Linked DNA regions of Arabidopsis thaliana. The protein of the gene in region 4 interacts with the protein of the main gene of each other region in a pairwise test. Each region holds a gene or a part of one and is shown on either strand. Other genes may lie near its edges.

Region 1 (3,992 bases), on a different chromosome or scaffold from region 4:
TGGTTTGAGAATGTTAGTATCTTTGTTTTGGATATTGGAACAGTTTTGATGACTCTTCTTTCTTCTCCATTAAAAAAATGTTGCTTTAGTTTATTCACCATGCAAAAGGAAACTAAAACCTTGTCGAATTGAACCCATTAGCTCCACCATCAATGATGAAACCTTGTCAAGTCTTCTTATCAGCAACTGCAACATCCTTACGCCTTGTTTTGCTTCATCAGTGTGCCTTTGAATCTTTCGTAGTCTTGGATAAAACCAGCTCCTTCCTTGCAACTCCCTAGCCTCCTTCCTTGAGGAGTTAGGTAATAAACATCGGCTTTATAACAATTTCTCTTAGAATCAGGTCCTGTTGAATACTTTTCTAGTCTATGAACCTCCACTTGTAGCACTTTGTACATTGTACTGCATGTATCGATTAACCTCAGTTGATACCTCGTATTGGTTGGAGTGAAGGGGTGTCCATATCCTTTGGGTTCGGTTCATTAAACAGACTGATACTTGACAAATTATAACTACAAGTCTATAATGGTAAACACTTGGACTTGATATTCAATATAAAATCAAACTGAAAATCAAAAACTTATGAGGTTTATACTGATACAACATCGAAAATCACTTCATGAAAAACATTGAAACCAAAAATTTCCGAATTCTTTGGACAATCTCTGGCACATAACTCAGGTTAAACCACATCTAAGTAGAAAAGACTTTGGTTTAGGTGGTAAGCTCCATGATGGCAGAGACAATATCTCCATCTGCAGCCTTGAGAGCCTTCACAGCATTTGGCCTAGACACTCCTGCTTGAGTCATCACCAACTCAATGTCCTTTGGCTCAACACCTTCCTCGTCAACCTCCTCATCATCCTGAACCACTGCAGCGCTCGATGACTCACCCTTTGAGATCACATTGCTGAGATCTGGTGCCTTGAATTGCTCTGCTGCTTGCGACTGGATCTGAGAGCTCAAATCCTCGATCTTCGCCTCTCCAAAGATCACATATGTGTCTGATGCTGGACTCTTGAACACATCAGGCTTTGATATGACAAACAAGATCTGTGTTCCAAAGCAAATGTCCCCAAAACAGATCAATATTAAAGCCTGATGTGTGAATAAAAGAAATTAAGATTGACTGAATATTAAAGAGAAAACACAAACATTCTTGCTCTTTTTGACGGTGACTCGGCTAACACCAGTGATGGGTTTCATGCCAAGCTTGAGCATGGCTTTGCGACTCTTCTTCTCACTTCTGCTTTGTTTTGACTTACCTCCTGCCTCTCCATCTAGTCCTGTTTTCCAATCACCAATCAACAAGAATAAAATAGATGATAACATTAAGTTCCACAAACATGTCTATCAACACAAGTCAACGCAAAGATTATTTGAAAACAAAGAAGATGGATTCATTTTCACTAAATTTTCAAGCTATGGCCATATAATTATCATTGCTACATATCTACACATACACGTGAGCATCAACAAATCTGCCCCAGATGTAAGCTAACAGAAATACTAGGAACTATACTAATTATTCCAGTAATTTGATGAATGAAATGTAGAAAGCTTTTACCATCAGCCTCGTCATCATCCTTATCATCGTCATCAGAGTCATCGTCTTCGTTATCATCATCGTCCTCAACTTCGGGCTTATCGAGCTACAACAAATCATCAATAATTGAACTAATTGGGAAAATGAGAGAATCCACAAAGGTTAATTACATGTAAATTCAGATCTAAAGTCTTATAATAAGGTCCAATATTTGCATATACAAAACAAAACAAAAGCAAAGATCTGGGCAGGAACAGATTAAAAAACTCTGAATTCAGTCTAATGATTTCCAGACTAAAAGACAAATAACAACAAATAAACAGAGATGATAGATAGGTAAAGAATAAAAGAGTAATCAATTACATCGATCTTCTGTTCTTCCAATTTGGCGGCGAGGATCTCTTTCTCTTCGGTAGTCATAATGAGAGTGTATATTGAAAGTGTGAAGTGTGTGAAAGAGAGAGAGATTCGTGATTCGTGCGGAAACTCTAAAACCCTAGAATAATTGTTAGGTTGGAGAAGACCGAGTGTTAATTATTGCAAGGAAAATCAAAAGGCCCAAAACTTTTATATAAAATCGCAATATTACACATTGTCCGTTGGGCTTATCAGCTGGAAAAAATTGGTCGGAATATTTCAGTTAAAGAAAAGCAGCAAAAAAGACAACCTATGTCGGAATACGAAAACGCCGTCTGTGGGGATCGAACCCACGGCCACGTGGTTAAAAGCCACGCGCTCTACCACTGAGCTAAGACGGCTTACGTTTATGTCAACGACATTAAACTATTTATTCAATTATCAAGTCTTTTTTAAGTCAGAGGGTTTTGGGCCTAATAATGTTTTTCCACGTCACGGAGCTCCATTTGTGTCTTCTTCTTTCTTTCACCGGAGAACTAGGTGGCCGAATTTACTTATTACAAAATCAGTCGATGACTGACGACGGCGACTAAATCAACACCGCAGTAGGAAGAGAAAGCCATGGCGTTCGTTTCGAGGATACGTAGGCAGAGTGATTACAATACATATCCATCTTCGATTCCCATTGTTATCGATAATGGCGCTTCCTACTTCCGTATCGGGTACTTTTATTCCATAAACCCTAATTTCCTTCTTATCGCTAACTCACTTTTACTTGAGGTTTTTGGTATTTAGTAATTCTCTTCCCCAATTCGTAAAAATCGTGTTAAATTTTGAAATTCTCTTGCGTTTTTTTAGGTGGGCAGGAGAAACTGAGCCTCGTGTTGTTTTCCGCAATATCGTGCAAAGACCACGCCACAAAGCTACAGGTCTTTATTTTTTTCTCTATTTTCCCGCTTCTATGTATGTGTCTTAATTGCTTGTTTCGCTGCTAGAGTAACAAATTTAGCCAATGATATGTTTCAAAGTACTAGAGCAGAGTTGCTTGAAGTTTTGGCTACGATTTCTAGATATATATAACTATGCTTTATCCTATTTTGCTTAAAAGTTGCTCTGCTTCTAAATTATCTTCTAGGTGTGTTTGTAATGTTGTTGTAATGGTTAGTTCTTCTCTCTAGTACAGGTGAAACTGTTACTATTGTTGGCGACCTGGATCCTTCCATGATGAAGTACTTTGATTGCACTCGCTCTGGACCACGTTCCCCTTTTGACAGCAATGTGGTTTATCAGTTTGAGATCATGGAATATGTATGGATTCTATACCCGTTTATTCAATAACGAATTGTATTGTATATTTGTAAGGTCTTCTGTTCCAGGAATTTCTTGCTCTCATCATTTCTTTGTATTCCAAGTTCTTTGATGTTTATGCTAATTAAATAATGCAATCACTGAAGAACCCACTTGTCTAATTGATTTTTCTGCTTTTTAGATTCTTGACTACGCCTTTGATCGTTTGGGTGCTAATGGATCAGGGGTACGTCCTAGAACTTTTTTGTTTTCATCTTGATTTTGAGTTTCATCTTACTACCTGTCAGAATTTTGTCTCGTCATTTAACGTCATTTGATGGCAGTACAGATTGATCATCCAATCCTAATCACTGAATGTGCATGCAACCCAGTTCAATCTCGTAGCAAAATGGCAGAACTGCTATTTGAGACTTATGGAGTGCCTGCAGTTGGTATGAATCTGCGTTATTTTTTTGGTTTCTGAATTTGATCGTCTTCTTGAACTGAATGTTTGATACTGTAATTATGGAACCTTTTGTTTATTGTTTTCATTAATTCATTAACTCTCATGTCGTCACAGCATTTGGAGTCGATGCTGCTTTCAGCTACAAATACAATCAACTACATGGAATTTGTAAAAAAGATGGAATTGTTCTCTGTCCTGGATTCACGACAACACACTCCATTCCGGTATGTATCTATGACTACTATGAATGCAAGCTGGTGTCAACCCTGTTTACTTTCTTTCTTCAAACAATTCCTTTCCTGATATCACTTAGTCATTAGTCTGATAGTTCTTATA
Region 2 (5,310 bases), on a different chromosome or scaffold from region 4:
GTGAGAAAGTGAATATTTCAGATGGATCATGTTTGCTGGATCTTAATAAACCCCCGGCTTACGAGCCGGTTTCAATTGATCATCAATGCGGTTTAGATGGTGTACATGAAAAAGATTGTTCAGCATCTCCAGCTTCATGTTGCACCGCAGAAAACAATTCAAGGACTGAAGGAGAAGATTCGTGTGAAGTAATTCAAATGGCAGCTGAATGTTTAGTCCACATCTCAGCTGTTTCTCATAATCAAAGTCACGGTGTCCAAGAACCGGGTCGTTCTTGCGATTCATTTGAGCTACATACTTTAGAAATAAGAGAAACTGTCCCTGAAGAGCTCTGTTGTGTATCATCAAAGGCCATATATGACTTCAGTAAGAAGAAAGAGTTTGGAGTCAAGCTGAGAAGAGGGAGGAGAATGAAGAATTTCCAAAAGGAGATACTCCCGGAGCTTGTATCGCTCTCTAGACATGAGATTCGAGAAGATATTAACCTCTTAGAGACGGTTTTTAGATCGAGAGATTACAAGAAAATGCAGGGGAAGACTAAAGATGGAAAATGCAAACCAAACCTGAGAAACACCAAAGGTTTGACTCAAACGTATGTAGGTAAAAGAAGGAGATGATGAAATTCACGGTGCTTGAGGTCTTATAGACATTTGCTCTAGCTCCATTGGTTTAGCTTTAACATATAGCAGTTTTCAAAATCATTCACTATATTGAAAGTTAGAGGAGGAAGTTGGAACTTTGTTCGAGTCTATGATCTTCAAAGATTAGTTGGTTCTTTTAAATTCTTGAAAGATTCGCTAGGACTGATTCCGTAAATTATTTTATGGGCCTAATGGGCCCAACAGGCCTAATTGTTTTTTTTTTTACATCAACAGGCCTAAATTTTACGCTTCTGTTATTTCTTCAATTTTTCATCACTTGTGCATTCTAAATATTCTTCTCCCTGCGGATCCAATGTAACTTTCATGATTTCTCATTTTCAATTTTTACTCTTTTTCTCTTCTTCTTTTTTTGACTTTAAATCTTTTACAAATGCTCTTTAGTGGGAATCACTTTTCACTGATTATTCCTTCTTTTGAACTACTCTCATCTCTCAGTTAAAATTTTGAAATTATTTATTTTATATTAAAGAAACGTTACAAAATTTGAAATTTTCCAACTATAGCTTTTCGCTTTAAGGAAGTAGTCGTGTAAGTAACGTAAAAGATATTTTAGTGGATAAAATATTTTACTATAGATGGAAGAAAATTGAATGTAGAATCAAAACCCAACTGTAAAAATTAATAACAATTGACTGTGTAATAAAATCTATTAATGGCATTGTAAAAGCCAACGCACCAAAATATTCACTATTTACGACATCATTTAATAAGAAAATATTTTACTACTAGTTGGGAAAGAAAGAAAGAAAGAAAATCTACTAATTGCCATTTTTTCTTGTCGTCAACAAAATTAATTACCATTTATCAACACAATTTTCTACCAATTTTACATTGGAAATAAAAACAAATCCCTAAACATTAGGGGAAAATTGCGTTGATAAATGAAATTACAATGTCAAAAAGTTAGAAACTAAAATAACTTTTATTTTTTTGAATTTTTACAACCGATAGATTATGAGAAAACAAGGCAACACCGCACGTGTATCGAACACGAGCAACTCTCCGTCGTCACCACTCACTGAGTCAAACCGTGACCTCAAATCCGAGTCATACTTTAACTCGTTTTGCTTAGTGACCCGACCCGCTATGACCCGACAAACCAACATTGCCTTCCTCCCTTTCCCACCGCCAGCTTTCTCATTCGCCGTGCTACTTCCGGCAAACGTATATATCGACGCGCCACCGCCTTTTCCTCCCAAAATACCCCACGCGCTGCCACCTCCACCGTAACTTGGACCCAAACAGTAAAACCTCATTGTTTCATTCCCGTCGGCAACCGAACGCGCGTTCTCTTCACGCGCTTTCCCCACGCTCCTAGCTTTCACGGCTTCACGATACTCTTCGAACCGGGTCAAAGTCTTAGACCCGTTTTGCACTTTGAAAATCATTTCGACCCGACCCGAAAACGGTTTCGGACCCCAGCTCGTCTGAAAGATAATCTCCACCACATTACGTGACTGATGACCTTCCGATAGCTCCGTCAATGTCGGTAAAAACGGATCACGATCACGAACTCCGGTTGATCGGATCCGGGTTGATGGTGATAAAACCGGGTCGGTTTCTCGTTTATCCGGTTTTGGATTGGGTTTCTTCGGTTTAGGTTTGGGTTTTTTGGTTTCGATCACATCTTTTAGACTCTGTGTGCTTTTTCTGCAACTGTAGCTTGACATGAGATGTTTCGGACTCGGGCTCGGATTCGGGTTCGGGTTTTTAATCGGATTGTAAACATCATCGAAAGCTTTCGACTTGCATTGTAACGATTTGACCCACCCATTTGCCATAATCAAGATCCGGAACCAAAGCTCTCTGTTTTTTGTTTTTCTTTCAGTCTCTCTCTCTCTCTTTAAAAACTTGGAAAAGAAACAGAAGCAGAAGAAGAAAGCAACATGGCGCGATGATGATGATGAATATTAAAAGTGTACGTCGAAACTTGGGAGTGTAAATTACGGTATTACCCTTTAGTTTAATATAACATAGTAATTTTTTACAACATAAATTTATTTTTTTGATTTATGTAAGATGATTCTACGATATGACCCCATTCCTTCATATCACTTTTGTCTTATTGATTTTAAGTTTTTTCAAAAAAATTATAAGAATGGAAAATTTGTTTTTTGATTTTATGTAAGGTAATGCAGAAAAACAAGACGGAAATAAATGTAAGATAAAAATTGACAGCCGGATTTTATTGTTTTTATTTTGGTACAGTCTTGTGATTCTTGTCTTTTTTTTATCATAAATGGATCACAAAAGAACACGAATAACATTTTTTAAAAATACGTCAACTTCGTAACTCTATTTGTTTTTATCTCAACAATAGAATTTCACATGTAATGTCTATTCAAGTCAATTAAGATATCTGGATCTCTTAGTCGATGACAAAAATATTTCGAAATCAACGTAAATTTTACGCTATCTTACAAAAAATATTCAATACAAAATAATGATTTCATTTCAACCTTTTTCTTAGAATACGCATTTCTACTTAATTTGTATATCTTGTTTATCATACAAATTATAAGTTTTCTTCTTGTCATAATTAATTAAAGCTAGTGAGCTAAAACAAAACTATATGTATTTCTAATTTTCTACACCATAGAATTTTGTAAGAATCACGATTCATTGTCGTCTTTGAATCAATCAGTGGTCAATGGTAGCTTGTTTGTAACTTTAAAAGTAAAACACCAAAATAATAAAAGATTCGAAGATGAATTAGAGAAAAATTGCACACAAAAAAAAAAAAAAAAACTATTTCTAACTATCGAAATTGTATATATATAAGCTAGTTTACTGTAACTAATTACTAACTTTGTTACTAACCAAAATGAAAGTCTATTTCAATTTATTTTGTCCTCTCATGGAACCCAAAATTTGATGCAATCTGACTACTGACTAGCTGATGTGTTTTCACAAAACATTGTATCAGTGAGCAAGTGATAAAAGCTATCTAACTTCACAAATTGTGTCTGTCAATGCTGAATATATGTTTCTGCACTACAGCGAGATATAGTTGGCTGCTTTCTGGTTCAGGAGTTCACATAATTTAATTCATAAAATCAACTCAACTAACACTCTGAAATATACACAATATAAATATAATATAGAGAAAATTGTATACTACTCACTAGGATATGCGTATCTTAATCACTTGTCATGCTACTAATATAAAAATAATTGTTTGCTTTTAAAAATAGGAGGAATCTTTAGAATTTTGAGATTTACAAAAACAAAATGGAAGAATAGAAGAATAGAAAGAGAATGGAAGCTGCCAACGACGGACTATTAAAACAAATCGCACTGAAAATTTTGAAATTCTCACATAATGACACCCATTTTCTTATCTGTCGTCTTCCTCTTATTTTTTCTTAATTACACACTTAAATTAATAATTATAATAATCTATACCCTGATGATATTACAATTGCCTTGTCTAACATAAGTAAGCATTTGACTAATTAGTGATTAATGCGTATATATGACATTGTTGGTTCTGAATAGTGTTCAAATATTTTGTAAATCCGTTTGTGTCACTCAATATATAATCTATCATACCGTGAAAATTTCAATTTCAATGACAATTTAGAAAGTTTCTTAGTATGAACGATTATACACTTCAACAGTATGTATCATGTATGATGCGAGTTTAAATTCGAGTGACGGTGCATCGACGATACTAACACAAATTACTATACTACATGTTTGATCTTAGATATTATAAAGATTTAGGTTGCCACTAATTATATTTTAAAGTTTCTATTTGACGCAATTGCTTAGTTTATACAGATGATAAGTGTTTTGTTATACTATATGTCTATATATATGTAGAAGACATATTTTAAATATGATCTTCTACTTAAATATTGCTTTACTTTATGTGACAATAATTGTTATTATCTTTAGTTAAATTTTATACCAACCATATGATTCACAGCTCAGTATGAATATATATGCATTTATAAGAATTGATACACAAAGCTCCGGAATTTATCGAATATATATATAACCATGCCAGAGTTATACCAGCTTAATTTGGTTGTATTAGTATATAATAAATCGTAAAAATGAGATATTAAGTGTGTTTATGAGAAAATGTGTATGTAAAAAAAAAAACAGACATTAGAAGTTAGAACCCAAAAAAAATATCAGACATGTGCATTAAAAACCGTATATACACTATACTTGAAATCTTATGGTGAAAATATTTTTTTAGTAGTAAGAAACTTTTGGGAGAGTGGGTCGTGTAGTAACATGAGGAGGCCACAACGTTGATATATGTAAACACATAATTAAAGCAATTCTAGTAAACTATTACGAAAAACTAAACAAAAGAATAGAATAATACATACTCCCATCCCGCACGTAATCATAAATGGTTTGAATTCATGTCCATACTTGACTCAAAGTATTTAAATACTAAAGTCTAAACATCACTACGCATCCTTAACTTTTAGAAATCTATTCAAAATGACTCTCACTATCTATATTGGAAAAGTAGATCCATTTTATCAAAATTCCGATTAATTCAATATCATAAGAAGTATATATAACTAGTGAAATACTCTATAATTAAATTATTAAACAAAGAAATGTAACTATAGATAGTCGTTAAAACTTTAAACTCAACAAACTATATGTAGTATACTAAACA
Region 3 (5,727 bases), on a different chromosome or scaffold from region 4:
TTTAGTTGTTAATTATGACAGAACTCGTCGAACATAGAGTTTGTGAAGATAGAATCAGTTCTTTGCCTGACGATCTTCTCGTAAAGATTTTATTGTGCGTTCCTACGAAAGATGCAGCGGCCACCACGTTTTTGTCCAAACGATGGCGGTTTGTCTGGAGGATGTTACCTAGACTTAATTACATAGAAACCACTAGTGACGTAAAAAGCAATACTGTTTGGTGGTTTCTTGAAGAGTCATTCCGTTTTCACAAGGCACCTTTGTTAGAACGTTTGTGGATCGACCTCGGTCCACAATGTCCTATTAATGTTAATCCTGTAAAGTGGGTTGCAAAAGTACTTGATACCAGGGGCGGATCTAGAATGTAATTTAATGTGGGGCACCATATATATAAATAGTACTAAGTATAATTTAATTACCTAAATTGTATTGTGATTATAAATTATTTTTACAAAAATAACAGTGCGGAGACTTGAACTCGGGTTAGTATGAGGCACTTTTTGCTGGAAAACCATTTGAGTTACCTGTATTACATTGTTTAGTAGTAGCTTATAAAATATTTATAGAATTTAGTATCAGGCACGTGCCCCACCTGCCTCCAACGTGGGTCCGCCACTGCTTGATACTCGTGTGCGTTGGCTAACTTTCAGGCTCCTTTGGAAAGGAGAGCCGATCAGAATGCCTAAGAGCTTTTACTTTTGCAAAACGCTTGAGAGATTGACTCTCTCCGACAAGATTCTTGTGGATGTTCCTTGTCAAGTCTCTCTCCCATCACTTAGAGAACTTGATCTCTTCTGTGTTGTGTACAAAGACGAAGATTCTCATGTTAAGCTTCTATCAAGTTGTCCCGTTCTCAAGCATCTAAAGGTGACTCGAAATAGACGTGTGGAAGATAATGTGAGAACGTTTAGGGTTGAAGTGCCTTCTTTATTGAGATTAGACTACAAAGCAGGTATGATGTTTCGAGAAGACAGTGATATGTCTGATCCGTTTTTGGTTACAGACACTCCGAATTTATTGTCTCTTCACATCTTTGATACTGTGGGATACTCTCTCTCAGTTTGGTACATGCCCCATCTTGTCACAGTAGTTACTGATGAGCTGTTCCCTAGTGAAAAATTTATGAGGCCTCTCTCTTCGGTCAAGTATCTTGCGCTATCTCCGTTCGATACAATGGTTCCGTGGTGTGACGCAGTTAATAACTACTCTCGACTTGTTGAATGTATGATACATCTATCTGAGTATGACTTGTTGGAATCACTTTTGGTTTTGCTCTCTAAGTGTTCTAAGCTTAAAGTTTTTCTGGTCGACTCCGACATTCCGAGATGGAATCATGACCCAGCTTTATGGAATCAACCGAGTTCTATTCCAAGATGTTTGTCGTCGCATCTCGAGATCTTTGAGTGGGACGGATATGTTGGAAGAGAAGATGAGAAAAAAATCATAAGGTACATTCTAGAAAACTCCAAATATTTAAAAACAGCGGGAATCTCACCGAATTCAACCTTCAGTGGTGAAGAGAAACAGAAGATGGAGGAGTTAGAATCAATGCATAGGACTCCAACGTCTGTGCTTCTGTCCTCTGCTCGAATGTCATTTAGATATTAGTATATCTGTCTATTTGTTAGTAGGTGATGTTTCTAATCCTAGAATTTGGAAGTTTCTCGAACTTTGTTTAGTCGAATTTTGATATGTATTTTCTCCAATACATTGTCGTGAAAAACAGAGTACAACTCAGATACTGCATAAGCATCATAACAAACAAACTAGATTAGATACTCGTAAGGACAACAATAATCCAATTTCCTGATAAATCCAAAAGTATTTGAAAACAATCTGCAAGTGAATAAAGCATAGAGACTCAATCTCTCTTAACTCTCAAGTAGTGAGTTCCATTATTGCACTTACAATGTCTCCATCGTGACTCTTGAGTGCTTTAACCGCTTTGCTACGAGAAACTCCAGCCTGAGTCATGACCAAGTCAATGTCACGAGCCTCCACACCGGTCTCATCGATTTCCTCTTCATCTTCTTCCACCTGTGCTTCTACAGTGGCTGTCGATGCCTCTGCTCTCTGAGATGTGGCTCCAATTTCAGGCATCCTAAACTGTTGAGCAGCTTGCGTTTGAAGCTGAGAGCTCAAATCCTCGATCTTGGCCTCACCGAATATAACATAGGTTTCTGAATGCGGGCTCTTAAAGACATCAGGCTTAGAGATAAAGAAGAGAACCTGATAACATTAATGTAGTGTATCATTAGAATCACACACGCAGAAAAAAATCTAAACTTATTGAGAAAACAGAGAAAGGTTTACGTTTTTCGTTCTCTTGATGGTTACTCGACTAACACCAGTGACAGGTTTCATACCGAGCTTCAACATCGCCTTCCTACTCTTCTTTTCACTTCTACTCTGCTTTGAACTTCCACTTACACCTACAACAACAAAACTTCATTCAATTTTAAGAACAATTCACTATGCTATAAACATATTGGGATCTCTATTCTCCGAAACTTAGTCAAGTAAATCCATAAATCTTGGCCTCAATCTATCAGCAAAATGATTCATCTCCCACATCTCTATATGTTAACAGAAACATCTAAATCAACCATTTCTACATAACTATGCAGTAATTCTTGAAATGTGACACTCTTTGCATACACGAAACTACAAATGTGAGAACGAACAAGGCCAATGATTAATATGATTAATATTCAATGACATTTCTAAAGAACACTATCTGGAAAATTAAGTAATGATTGATGACGAACAAAACTCTAAAAGCCGAGCTACACTGGTGAGAAAAGAGGGAGGAATCAAAAGCACCTTGAGCATCGTCGTCTTCCTCTTCTTCGTCATCATCATCATCGTCTTCATCATCTTTAACATCTTCTACAATCGGTTCATCAGTCTGCAAAAACAAATCCTCGAGCGTGAGACTAAGAAGTAAAAACCGTGACAAATCTACGTAAAATCGTCTTAACCTGAAGCTTTTTCTCCAGCTCTTCAGCAATGGCGGTAACCGGTGGTTGCTCAGGTTGTCCATCGGCAGATTCAGTGACTACAGCAGGAGGAGGAGACATGGCTTTCGGAGAGATTTTAGGGTTCCGATTCGATTTTGCGTCAGCCAAATGGATAAGGAACGGTGAGGTGGTGAGTGACGACTGTGTGTGTGGTAACGACTCGGGTTCTGCTTTGTCGTTGTCCAATTGGGCCTTTTATTGGGCTTCTGAGGCTTAATAAGAACAATTTTGGTTATCTATATAGGCCATGAAATTCCAGTCCTAAATTTTCTCTGGGCCGCACATGATATTCACGTGCCCATTTCGAAACATTAATAATCCTCTAGAAACCCTAATAACTCTATCGAAATAAATAGTGACCTCGTACGTTAACCCCTAATCTTCTGTTTGGTTACAGGTTCGATTCAGAGACTCTACACGTTTTGTTTTTATGTTTCACTTGAAGTTCAGATTATGAATCGATGAGCTCTATTGATGGTTTTGTAGATCTTTCGTGGGACGCGAGCTAGCCTACAATGGCCACCGGTGAGCTAGCTTGCACTTACGCAGCTCTCCTCCTCCATGACCATGTCACCGTATGTACTTTCTAGGCTCAATCTTGACATCAATCCTACTGGAGCCTTAATTAACTTGTAGGTTGTTTGTTTTAATTAACATGTACTCAAACTATTTTGTTTACTTGTAAACTAGGCTGAGAAAGATGTCAACATTGGTGAAAACAGCCAATTTGAACATTGAATCATACTGGCCTAGTCTTCCGCCAGAACAAAAACATGGATGATCTCATCATGAATGCTGGTGCCGGTGGATCTGCTGCTTCTCCCATGGCCGTTTTTTCTTCTGCACTTTCATCTGGAAGTGCCACTCAAGCTGCCCCAGTAGCTGAAGAGAAAAATAAGGTATCGTATTCTTCTCTCCTTGAACCCTTTTACTAATTAATATACTATACTCATAAATTCATAATTGTAATTACTGTTGATATTCAATATAAATATCTAATTTCTTGGTTTAATTTGTTCTTGTGATGAATCATCTTTAGGAGGACGTGAAGGGAGAGAGTGACGATGATTTTGTATCCGGATTGTTGACTAATAGATTTAACCTATCTTTTGAAGGCAATTGATGTTTAGTCGACTCAATTTTTTGAGATTTATTTTATTCTTAGGAAAGCCTAGTAATTTTACTTGGAACATGTCTTTTTTTGGCAAACACTTGGGACAGGTTTTATCATGAGTTTTGAGCTATAATCAATGCAACAATGTTGGGCTATAACACTTTTTCGGTTAATTTCGCTCGCTTACCTAAACAGTAAACCCTACATATGACTAAGTTTGGATTGTATTTAGATACCGAAACGCCTGTTTCCGAGGTTTACTGACAGATTTGTCCCTGAGAAATTAATAGGCTGTTTACTTGTAGGACATCATTCTTTAATTTGAAACTATTGCACTAATCGCTATTCTCAGTTAAGTTGATATATATCTGATATGCGGAGAATTATTTTGAGGAAGAATGTTTCCTAAAACACAAGAAAACCCTAGGTGATAGGCATTCATTCGTCAAAAATGTAGAGACCATAATGAAATTGTTAAGCACGTTATATCACGGACAAACGAGTATGCCCCCCCAGCAACGCCATCTGCCACTATACTTAGCTTCTCTCTCTCTACTGGCGTCAATAAACGCCAAATTTACTAGCCTTTTCAAATGCTGCACCAACTGAGGCTTCTTTCTATGGTTGATACTCCTTCATCTGTGGACACCCTATTTATTCCTACCCAACGAGGTTCATTGGCAAATGAAAATCTAGTTAATGTTTTTGAAAGCAATATTTTTGCTTCCTTAAACTCAGGATTTGGTGATACTTGTTTTGAGATGGGTGACTCCTCTCTAAAAGCCCAAGGAGGAAGGCCAATCAAGCCTACGCAAAAATATCAAGAGAATCAATGTACTACGATTTGGCCGTGGTGGTCGCGGTTCATCGACCTAATCCATTGCTTTTCTTTCTCTAATCTAAAACCTACTTTTACTGTATGTTATTCTCTTTCATCTACTTTCATAAAACTATATGATCCCCTCATAGTCATATCCTTTTCATATTTTTTATGCATATAATAAATTGAACTCAAAATTTATTCAATTTGATTAAATAGAAATTTGATATCTTTTCAAGATAATCACACTCAATATTTTAGTAAGTCATTTTAAAAATATACAAAAAGGCGTGAAAGCAACGGTATGATTGGGTAATTAGTATAGTGTATGTATGTATATATACATTAAAAAGTACTACCTAATTATAGATAAATAATTTGTATAATAACTTTGTAATCTCGATTGGTATCAATGAATTTAGAAGGAAAAGAAGAAAAATTATAGATAAAATTATCTATATATGTAATGGTATCTAATAAGGATGCTACAAAAAGGAAATTAAAGAAAAAAAGATAAGGTTAGAAAAAGGGAGAAAGATAAAAAAAAAAAATGTGGTAGGTAGACATAATCCGAAAGGTGGCAAAATCGTGTCTGTCTAGTGGATCTGTAAGGGTTTCATTTATAAGGTCGTCTTGTGTTTGTCTATCGGTACTCAGAACTCTAAGGGTTTCATTTCTTTTTCATGTGCAATGTCCGCCATGATGAAAAAACGGAAGAGGAAAGTCTCCAAGGAAAATGTTGCCCTAACCATATCTTCTTCAGTGGGTGAATA
Region 4 (7,211 bases):
TACACTTGTTGGGATTCTAAATGTCACTACACTATTTATGTGAGTCAGCTATCAATCCACCATTTTCAATGTCAGAACTAATGAGAGAAAGCTAATAGGCTTAAACATCTATGCAATGATTATCGACCCTTGCGCTTCTTGGATGCTCACAGTTTACAAAATCAAAAAACATCCAATATAGCTAAACTCGACATTTCGGTGAACACAAAAAAAAAAGTAATCGACATAGTTTGCAGAAGACAACATTAAGCTATCATCCAAAGAAAAAGTTTAGAGTAGAAAAGTGGTTTGGCAGACATTAACAGCTCTAATCATCCTAAATTGACCACAATTATCTTCCAATAGCTCATTAAAACCAAACCTGTATAATAACGCTTCTAAACCATCCGAAAATTCAATAAAAGACATTTTACCTCTTTTGCACCAGCTGCATAGCTCCTAGCAGAAACCAATGCGAATCGCGTCCTCCTAAGAGTCTGATCAAAAACCAAATTTCGAAAATCAGAAAACAAAATCCGAACCTAAAAATCTCCCAAGTAAAAATCTCAAAATCGTAATCGCACTGAAACAAATAAAAGGAGTAAAAAAGTCTCATACCGAAGCTCCATCGATGGCTCTTTGCCTCAAGATTCCCAACATTCTCTCTGATTAACAAACAAAAAGCAACAGTAATCGCAGGATCAAAAGCCCCGTAGATCTAACAATCATCGGAAATTGAATAGAGAAATCATAAATCCGGAGAAACAGAGTAGATCAACATCGGAGATAGATTTGATTACCTGAGCTTTGTACGATCTAACCACGCCGGCGAAAAAGTGAGAGACGGCGGATTAAGAAGAGAGCAGATACGACTCAAAGCGTGAGCGAAAGGGCACTGTTTTTTTGTTGTTGTTCTAAAACACAACGAAATGATTTCAATTAGCTGAATAAATGAGAGAGTAGGTCTTCTTCATCGAATTGTACAGGAGCCGTCCGATTAATATCTGCTGGTCATGATCGATGGTTGACATTTCGTTATATACTTTTTCTTTTCCAATATTATATTATTCCATTTGATGTTGTTGAAGTTTGTAAAGGAAAGTGGATGTGACCAAATTTAATTTGACGTTATACTTATTTTAATTCAGAGAGATTCGCTTTTTTTAACTAACCGAATCCATAAAGATGCAAACCGAATCATAATCCATATCGGTTTAACTTTTCTTCGGTTCAAATGGTTCGGTTCGGTTTGGTTTAAGATTGCAAAGAATCAGCTGGTCATTATGGCAGATGTTGAAGTAGCTATTCTTCTCCAAATCGGTTGTGAACTTAGTGAATGCAGAATCATTCTCTTGTGAACCTGGAGATTTGCAGAAGCTGCAGCTGAATTAACTATTATCAATTTGCATTTTGTGAGATAAAATGGACTTAGCTCGCAAAAGAGCAGAATCAATATGATGTGATATGTTTCTACATTTTAAAGTGAATTTGGAGTCTAATTGTAGTTTTGTAATCTGAAGTGCTAATTAGTTCAAAACTCTGACAAAGAAAAAAAGAGAGCAAAACACTGAATTCATAGTCTCTCTCTGTTTCATGGTTGAACAGCAGAATCAGTACTGTTAGTTTCTTTCTGTTTTCTTTCAGCTTGAAGGGATCTGCAAAGTGATTCAAGCTTGTCTTTCTGTTTCTTTGTCTTCTCCAACAGTTTCTTCAATCTTTCACGCTGTTCAAGGTCAACCAAAAGTGTGATTTTACTGGTTTCATAACCAAAATCTACAAACCCTTAAAGATAGTGAGAGAACAGACGGTTTTGTTTTACCTCTTCGACGAGTTCTATGAGAGTGATATCCGACTTCTCAGTTTTGTTTTTCAAGAATGCGTTTTCTTTTCTGAGTTCTTTGATTGCTTTTGACATCTACTCAAAAAACCAATAGAGACAGGATCAAGTTAATAAGATCACATAAATAGCACTTATGATCTTTCAAAGAACCTCGAAGGTATAAAACTGTTATTACCTTATCGATTTCTTGTTTGAATGTTTCAAACACCTCATTGCTCTTAACCAACGCGTCCTGCATAACCAAACAGCCTTTCACTTTACAGTCTTTTCATATAATATCAGTAAAAAACATATCTTAAGAGAGTATTGTATCACACCCAAAGCAAGCAATCTTATTATCTGTGATCACAGTGCATCGAGAAAACGATTAAGACTTATTTAGGAAGTGTAAAAGGGGAAGAGAGCAGACCTGGAACTGCTGGAATTTATCTCCATCAGAAGTCAGCTGCAACCGCAAATTTTTCTCAGTAGACAAAAGCTGAGAAACTTGATCTGCGTAAACTTTCATCTGAGATTGTTCATGGATGAGTTTCTCCTCGTGCTGTTTAATTTTTAAAGCAGAGATCTGTAGCTCAAGTGTTTTCTGCTTCAACTGTCCATTCGAAAATGAGATGTTGTCAAGTAGACATCGCAGTTAAGCCAATTATTTTGGCTAAATCATGCTTCATATATAGTTGGAAAAAACGAATAATTTAATTACCCTTTGCTCATGTTGTTGTTCTGAAAGCATAAATTGATCAGCCAGGTGCTTCAACTTCGTCCTTAACCTGGAGATTAAGAAACAAACCCATTGTAATTAGAATGGACCTTTATAATATGTTACTGAGCTGATACAAGCAAAGCCGTTTTAAAAGCAATACACATGTAAGAATATAGTTTCCAGAATGTGGGCGAGCATATTCATACTGTATTAACTTAAACTGCAACAAAACTATACATATATAATAAACATACTATAATTTTCCTACTCCAAATGAACATGTTATGATTGAGTTCTTTCCGCTTACATCTCATTTTCTTTGAGTTGCGTGAGGCTTTCATTCTTTTGCTCGTCCAACTTAATGCTCACATCCTATAAACAAAAGAGGATTAGGAAGGTAGAGAGCATAAGAAAAAAATCAATCAAATAAATTCTGATTTTGTTTTTGTAAGTTTTTGATGTTGCAAAAGCCTGCAAGCAATTCATCAAACTTAGTTCTATCAATCTGTAACTTGAAACCAATATGGACAATTTTCTACTTTGTTTAGTTCCAATTATTTCCAAGGACTAAATTTTAGTGTAGATCGGTACTAACATTTGCCAATGTCAGTGTAGAGAGTTTCAGAAAGAAGAAAAAGATATTGCCATGACTGTCCAAAGCATATAGCACGGAAGATTAAAGGAGATAATATCCTAAGAAAATATAACAAGGATCAATAAATGATGTGCATTTAAGATTTGCATACTTAGAAACACAAAACAAAGCTATTATCCAATACTTGTTCCTCTCTAAAACTGCCAATACCGACGGCAAAATGGCTCAAATTTCTATATTCAGCAAAGATCAAAACCCTGGGAAGAATTCACATCGAAAGAAAAATGTGTTCAACTTACCATTATAGCATCCTGGAACTTTGTCGATAAATCCGATCTTAAAGTCTGTCCCTCAGTTGAAACCCTCTTGCATTCTTCCTGTTATACAAAGGAACATTTAGTTTACACACCAAAAGGTTAGTTCCTCAAAACAAGACACACCAAGTAGAGTAAGCAAGAAGAAAGAAAGAACAAACCATTAACATTTTGTTCTGACGTTGTAACTCTCTACAAAGTGATTCAAGCTTGTCACGAACAGTAATAGCTACGGTTAAAAACAATAATGATGAGTACAGACTATAAAGCATTAAACGATGAAGGTAACACAAAACTAGTTTGGTTTTATTGATATCCTATTACCAGAATCTCTTTCAGAAAGGACTTGCTGATACTTGAGCATAAATTCCAAAAACTCTTTCTCTGATTTGAACATATTCTTTGAACCCTTACGCTTGCTCTCAACCACCTCCTGCTTTCAATATCATCAGCACACAAATCAGATACATCATCTTCAACATATATTCTTCTCAAAGCAACAAGATTGAAGAACTCATCAAAATACTGACTTGTTTTTTGGGTTTGAGTGAATCCATTTCCTTAGACAAGGTTGAATTTTGAGTTGACCCTTCTGACACTAACTCAAACAAAAAGCAAAGAAACAAACTTTAGGTTACAAAAGAAGCAAATTCCTATAAAGAAATTAAGCTTCACATTTTCACTCACATGTTTGAGAAATAGGAGGAGAAGCTTCTTTTTCTTTCTGCTCGAACTCTAACTCAAGCTTGATTGATTCTTGAATTAGGTCAGCTACTTCGTCATCTTCATTACCATCAGTTTCACACAACGGAACCGGAAAAGTTCTTGGCTTCTCTGTTTTCTCGATCGCAACAGTTTCATGGTTTGTTGTTTCTTCCTGGGTCTTGGGAGAATTGAGAGGCGGCTCTGTTGCGCCGTCGACGAATCCATCGGGTAAAGAATCGACTTCAGGGAGCAAATTCGAGTGCGGTGACTCCATTTTTTGAGTCTGGATCTGATGAAACCTAATACGAAGAAAACCCAAATATCTTACAACAATTCTGATAGGTAAGTTTAAATTTGTTCTTTCTTTTAGATTCGTTTGTAAAATTTTATTTGGTATAAAATCTTAACAATAAAACCAAAAAAAAGAAAAAAAAAATCTAATTTTGACTAAATTAAATGTTGTTCGTTGTTATTCAATTAATAACTTTAAGTGTTAATAATTGATTTCTTCATAGAAATGTTGAAATAAAGTGTTATTGGTTTTTTAAATTTGAGTATCATCATTATCACGTGACTTTGAAATTCAATTTTATTTGATTAATAAATGTTTGGAAATGATCAACTAAAGAAATGGTGTTACATTCAAGTTTGATAAATTCTTATTGATGCTTCGTTTACACAGAGAAATGTCAATTCGAACCGAAAGCATATAAAAATTTGGTCTCGCAACTTAGACCAACTTCAATAGTAATTTTTTAGTAGAAACTCATACAATTAAAAAAATATATATATTTAAAAGTTAAAAAAATATATATATGTTTTAGAAACTACATGAATTCTATATGCGGGAGGTACTCTTAGTCATTACTGACAAAGATCTCAAATTGGGCTTAACTCGGATAAACATGATCATAAACAAATTTAGTTTGAAAACCATTTTTTCTTTTTTATAAAACTCAACAAAAAAAAGTTAAAAATTTAAGAGGCCATCATTGATAAAACTTTCAACTAATTAATTTTGTCTAAATAAACTTTCAAATTATCAAATTTGAACTTGGTTATTAATTAACTAATGGTCAACGATAATTTTGTTCTGAATAATATACCGTTTTTGACGACATATTAATATAAACTCTAAAAAATAAATTAAAAATTGTATTTTAGGATTTGTAATTAAGATTTTTATCTTTCCTATTATGACTAACACTTGTGCATTCCGAAAACAAACGGAATTCACAAAGTTCAATTACTTACACCTTTTAGTGTGTTTTTTCTTCTATAATTGCAGTTTCCTATATGTTACTCTAATTTTATTTTCATTGGTTAATGTAACAATAAATTTGACATTTAGACAACACTTTTTTTATTGCACAAGTTCAATTAATTACATCTTTCCACGTGGAAAAAAGTAAATTCGTCAAACACTAACTTAATTATCCTGATCAAAGAAAGCAAAGGTGAAGAAGAAGAGGTTGTACAAATTCTGAAACAAGCGTCTCTTAAAACAAATCAAAGGTCTAAAATCGTAAGGTGGTTTTGATTATTCATCGTGATCCCGTACGTACACCACACCATTCTTACTTCAACAAATCAGTCAATGCAAAGATGGCAAACATATTTTGATCGATCACTGGCTCGATTTCTCTTGCACCAAACGAGAATGAGTGTTTCCCATGCATCCTCCACCTGCATAGCACGGCGCAGTCACATTTGCTAAATACTTCCTCGGCAATGCGATTCCGAACCTCTTTCCTCTTCTTTCTTTTTTCTCCTTTTTGACAATGCTTCCGTCCTATAGAAATACAAATATATCATTGTTAGAGATCCTCATAGATCAAATAATCAATAATGTGAATTAATGTGATTGACCACCTCTTTTATCTCTGTCGTGACGCTTTCGGTTTCCATCGACTTTCTCGCGTCTTCTACATCTTTTTCTGCAATAGTGAATGGATAAATTGTTTCAATAACGAAACTACATAATATAACAAGCATTTCATATATAAACATATATATGTCTCTAACAATGCATGCATCCATATACAAATACAAATAGTAAATGATTTATACATGTATATATGTGTGTTTGTATAAGAACATATGATTTACCTTCATCATCATCATCAGAAGGAACATCGACGCAATAAACCCTAAAGCTTGGAGATCCAGGACCAATCATTCTCTCATCAAAGTTGTTGATACTCCCTTCATCAACATCATGATTCTTACCATCATCTCCTTCCTTCTTAACATTGATGACGACCACATCATCATCATGATTTTCCTCCTCTTGCTTCTTCACAACCTCTTTATTTTCCTCCTCTTGTTTCTCCACAACATCTTGATGATGATTGTCCTCTTCTTGTTTGTTCACAACTACTTCTTCCTTCACCTCTTTAACATCATCTTTGGATGGAATCTTTTCATAAATAACCTCTTTCTTCTCTTCTACATTATGATCAGGCGCCGGAGCAACCTTAGCGGACGCCTTCAAGCTACCGTCGTTCTCCTCCGTATCTTCTCCGTCCTCGGAAGAGTTATGCCTAAGAAGCTCTTTCTTAGACAACGTCTGGCTCCCTTTCAAGACGCCTGCATGGCTCCGTTTCTTCATCTCCTCTAACCTTCGCCGGAGAAGGGGACGTATTCCCGCTGGAAGTGGCACAACCCCGCCTTCTTCCGCCCTTGTCGTCGCCACACCTCCAAGCCTCGAGCCACCGCAACCCATATTAATATATAAATAAACTAACAAATTGATGGTGTAATCGCCGCCACCAAAAAGATCATAAGGTGGCCGGTGGGTGGCCGGAGAAGATTTTAGAAAATAGGCAAAGGAGAGGAGAGAAGAGAGCCAATGAGTTGGGAGGATGATGAATGAATGATAATATTTAGGAATCCGAGAAGAAGAAGCGAGAGAATGTGAGATTATTAAAGGGTTGAGATTGTGTGATGTTGATTGGTTAGTTACGATTTGTTTGCTAAATTTGGTAAATAGTGATTTATTTAGGCAAATACATGAGTTGGTTTAATTTTTATCTAAGTGACATCTTCATTCTTATTGTCATGTGTGACTATTACCGT

What was found.
Region 1: the proteins of AT5G50840 (region 4) and AT3G12390 interact in a two-hybrid assay, tested with the Arabidopsis thaliana proteins (one large-scale study listed by BioGRID).
Region 2: the proteins of AT5G50840 (region 4) and AT1G62520 interact in a two-hybrid assay, tested with the Arabidopsis thaliana proteins (one large-scale study listed by BioGRID).
Region 3: the proteins of AT5G50840 (region 4) and NACA2 interact in a two-hybrid assay, tested with the Arabidopsis thaliana proteins (one large-scale study listed by BioGRID).

The regions. Positions count from the first base shown.
Region 1 is NC_003074.8:3,940,318-3,944,309, reverse strand, and holds AT3G12390 (Nascent polypeptide-associated complex (NAC), alpha subunit family protein), read right to left. Parts: upstream 2,054-3,992; 5' UTR 1,967-2,053; coding exon 1,910-1,966; intron 1,653-1,909; coding exon 1,568-1,652; intron 1,287-1,567; coding exon 1,156-1,286; intron 1,054-1,155; coding exon 715-1,053; 3' UTR 501-714; downstream 1-500. Other genes in the region: ELC (Ubiquitin-conjugating enzyme/RWD-like protein), read left to right, coding at 90-232; ARP5 (actin-related protein 5), read left to right, coding at 2,525-2,625, 2,762-2,832, 3,069-3,211, 3,393-3,437, 3,540-3,642, 3,771-3,880. UniProt on the Arabidopsis thaliana protein: May promote appropriate targeting of ribosome-nascent polypeptide complexes.
Region 2 is NC_003070.9:23,141,639-23,146,948, reverse strand, and holds AT1G62520 (sulfated surface-like glycoprotein), read right to left. Parts: upstream 2,565-5,310; 5' UTR 2,444-2,564; coding exon 1,601-2,443; 3' UTR 1,418-1,600; downstream 1-1,417. Other genes in the region: AT1G62530 (hypothetical protein (DUF863)), read left to right, coding at 1-617.
Region 3 is NC_003074.8:18,338,425-18,344,151, reverse strand, and holds NACA2 (nascent polypeptide-associated complex subunit alpha-like protein 2), read right to left. Parts: upstream 3,177-5,727; 5' UTR 3,081-3,176; coding exon 2,982-3,080; intron 2,909-2,981; coding exon 2,824-2,908; intron 2,433-2,823; coding exon 2,314-2,432; intron 2,230-2,313; coding exon 1,909-2,229; coding exon of another isoform or gene 1,879-1,908; exon of another isoform or gene 1,663-1,878; intron 1,609-1,662; coding exon of another isoform or gene 1,583-1,608; coding exon 1,508-1,582; downstream 1-1,507. Other genes in the region: AT3G49480 (F-box/FBD/LRR protein), read left to right, coding at 15-335, 580-1,608; AT3G49460 (60S acidic ribosomal-like protein), read left to right, coding at 3,536-3,595, 3,711-3,758; AT3G49450 (F-box and associated interaction domains-containing protein), read left to right, coding at 5,645-5,727.
Region 4 is NC_003076.8:20,683,099-20,690,309, reverse strand, and holds AT5G50840 (alpha-taxilin-like protein), read right to left. Parts: upstream 4,493-7,211; 5' UTR 4,408-4,492; coding exon 4,116-4,407; intron 4,027-4,115; coding exon 3,959-4,026; intron 3,865-3,958; coding exon 3,753-3,864; intron 3,658-3,752; coding exon 3,590-3,657; intron 3,492-3,589; coding exon 3,414-3,491; intron 2,892-3,413; coding exon 2,827-2,891; intron 2,587-2,826; coding exon 2,520-2,586; intron 2,412-2,519; coding exon 2,229-2,411; intron 2,052-2,228; coding exon 1,995-2,051; intron 1,895-1,994; coding exon 1,799-1,894; intron 1,703-1,798; coding exon 1,571-1,702; 3' UTR 1,388-1,570; downstream 1-1,387. Other genes in the region: MAB1 (Transketolase family protein), read right to left, coding at 414-476, 598-639; AT5G50830 (nuclear polyadenylated RNA-binding protein), read right to left, coding at 5,761-5,925, 6,003-6,070, 6,243-6,858.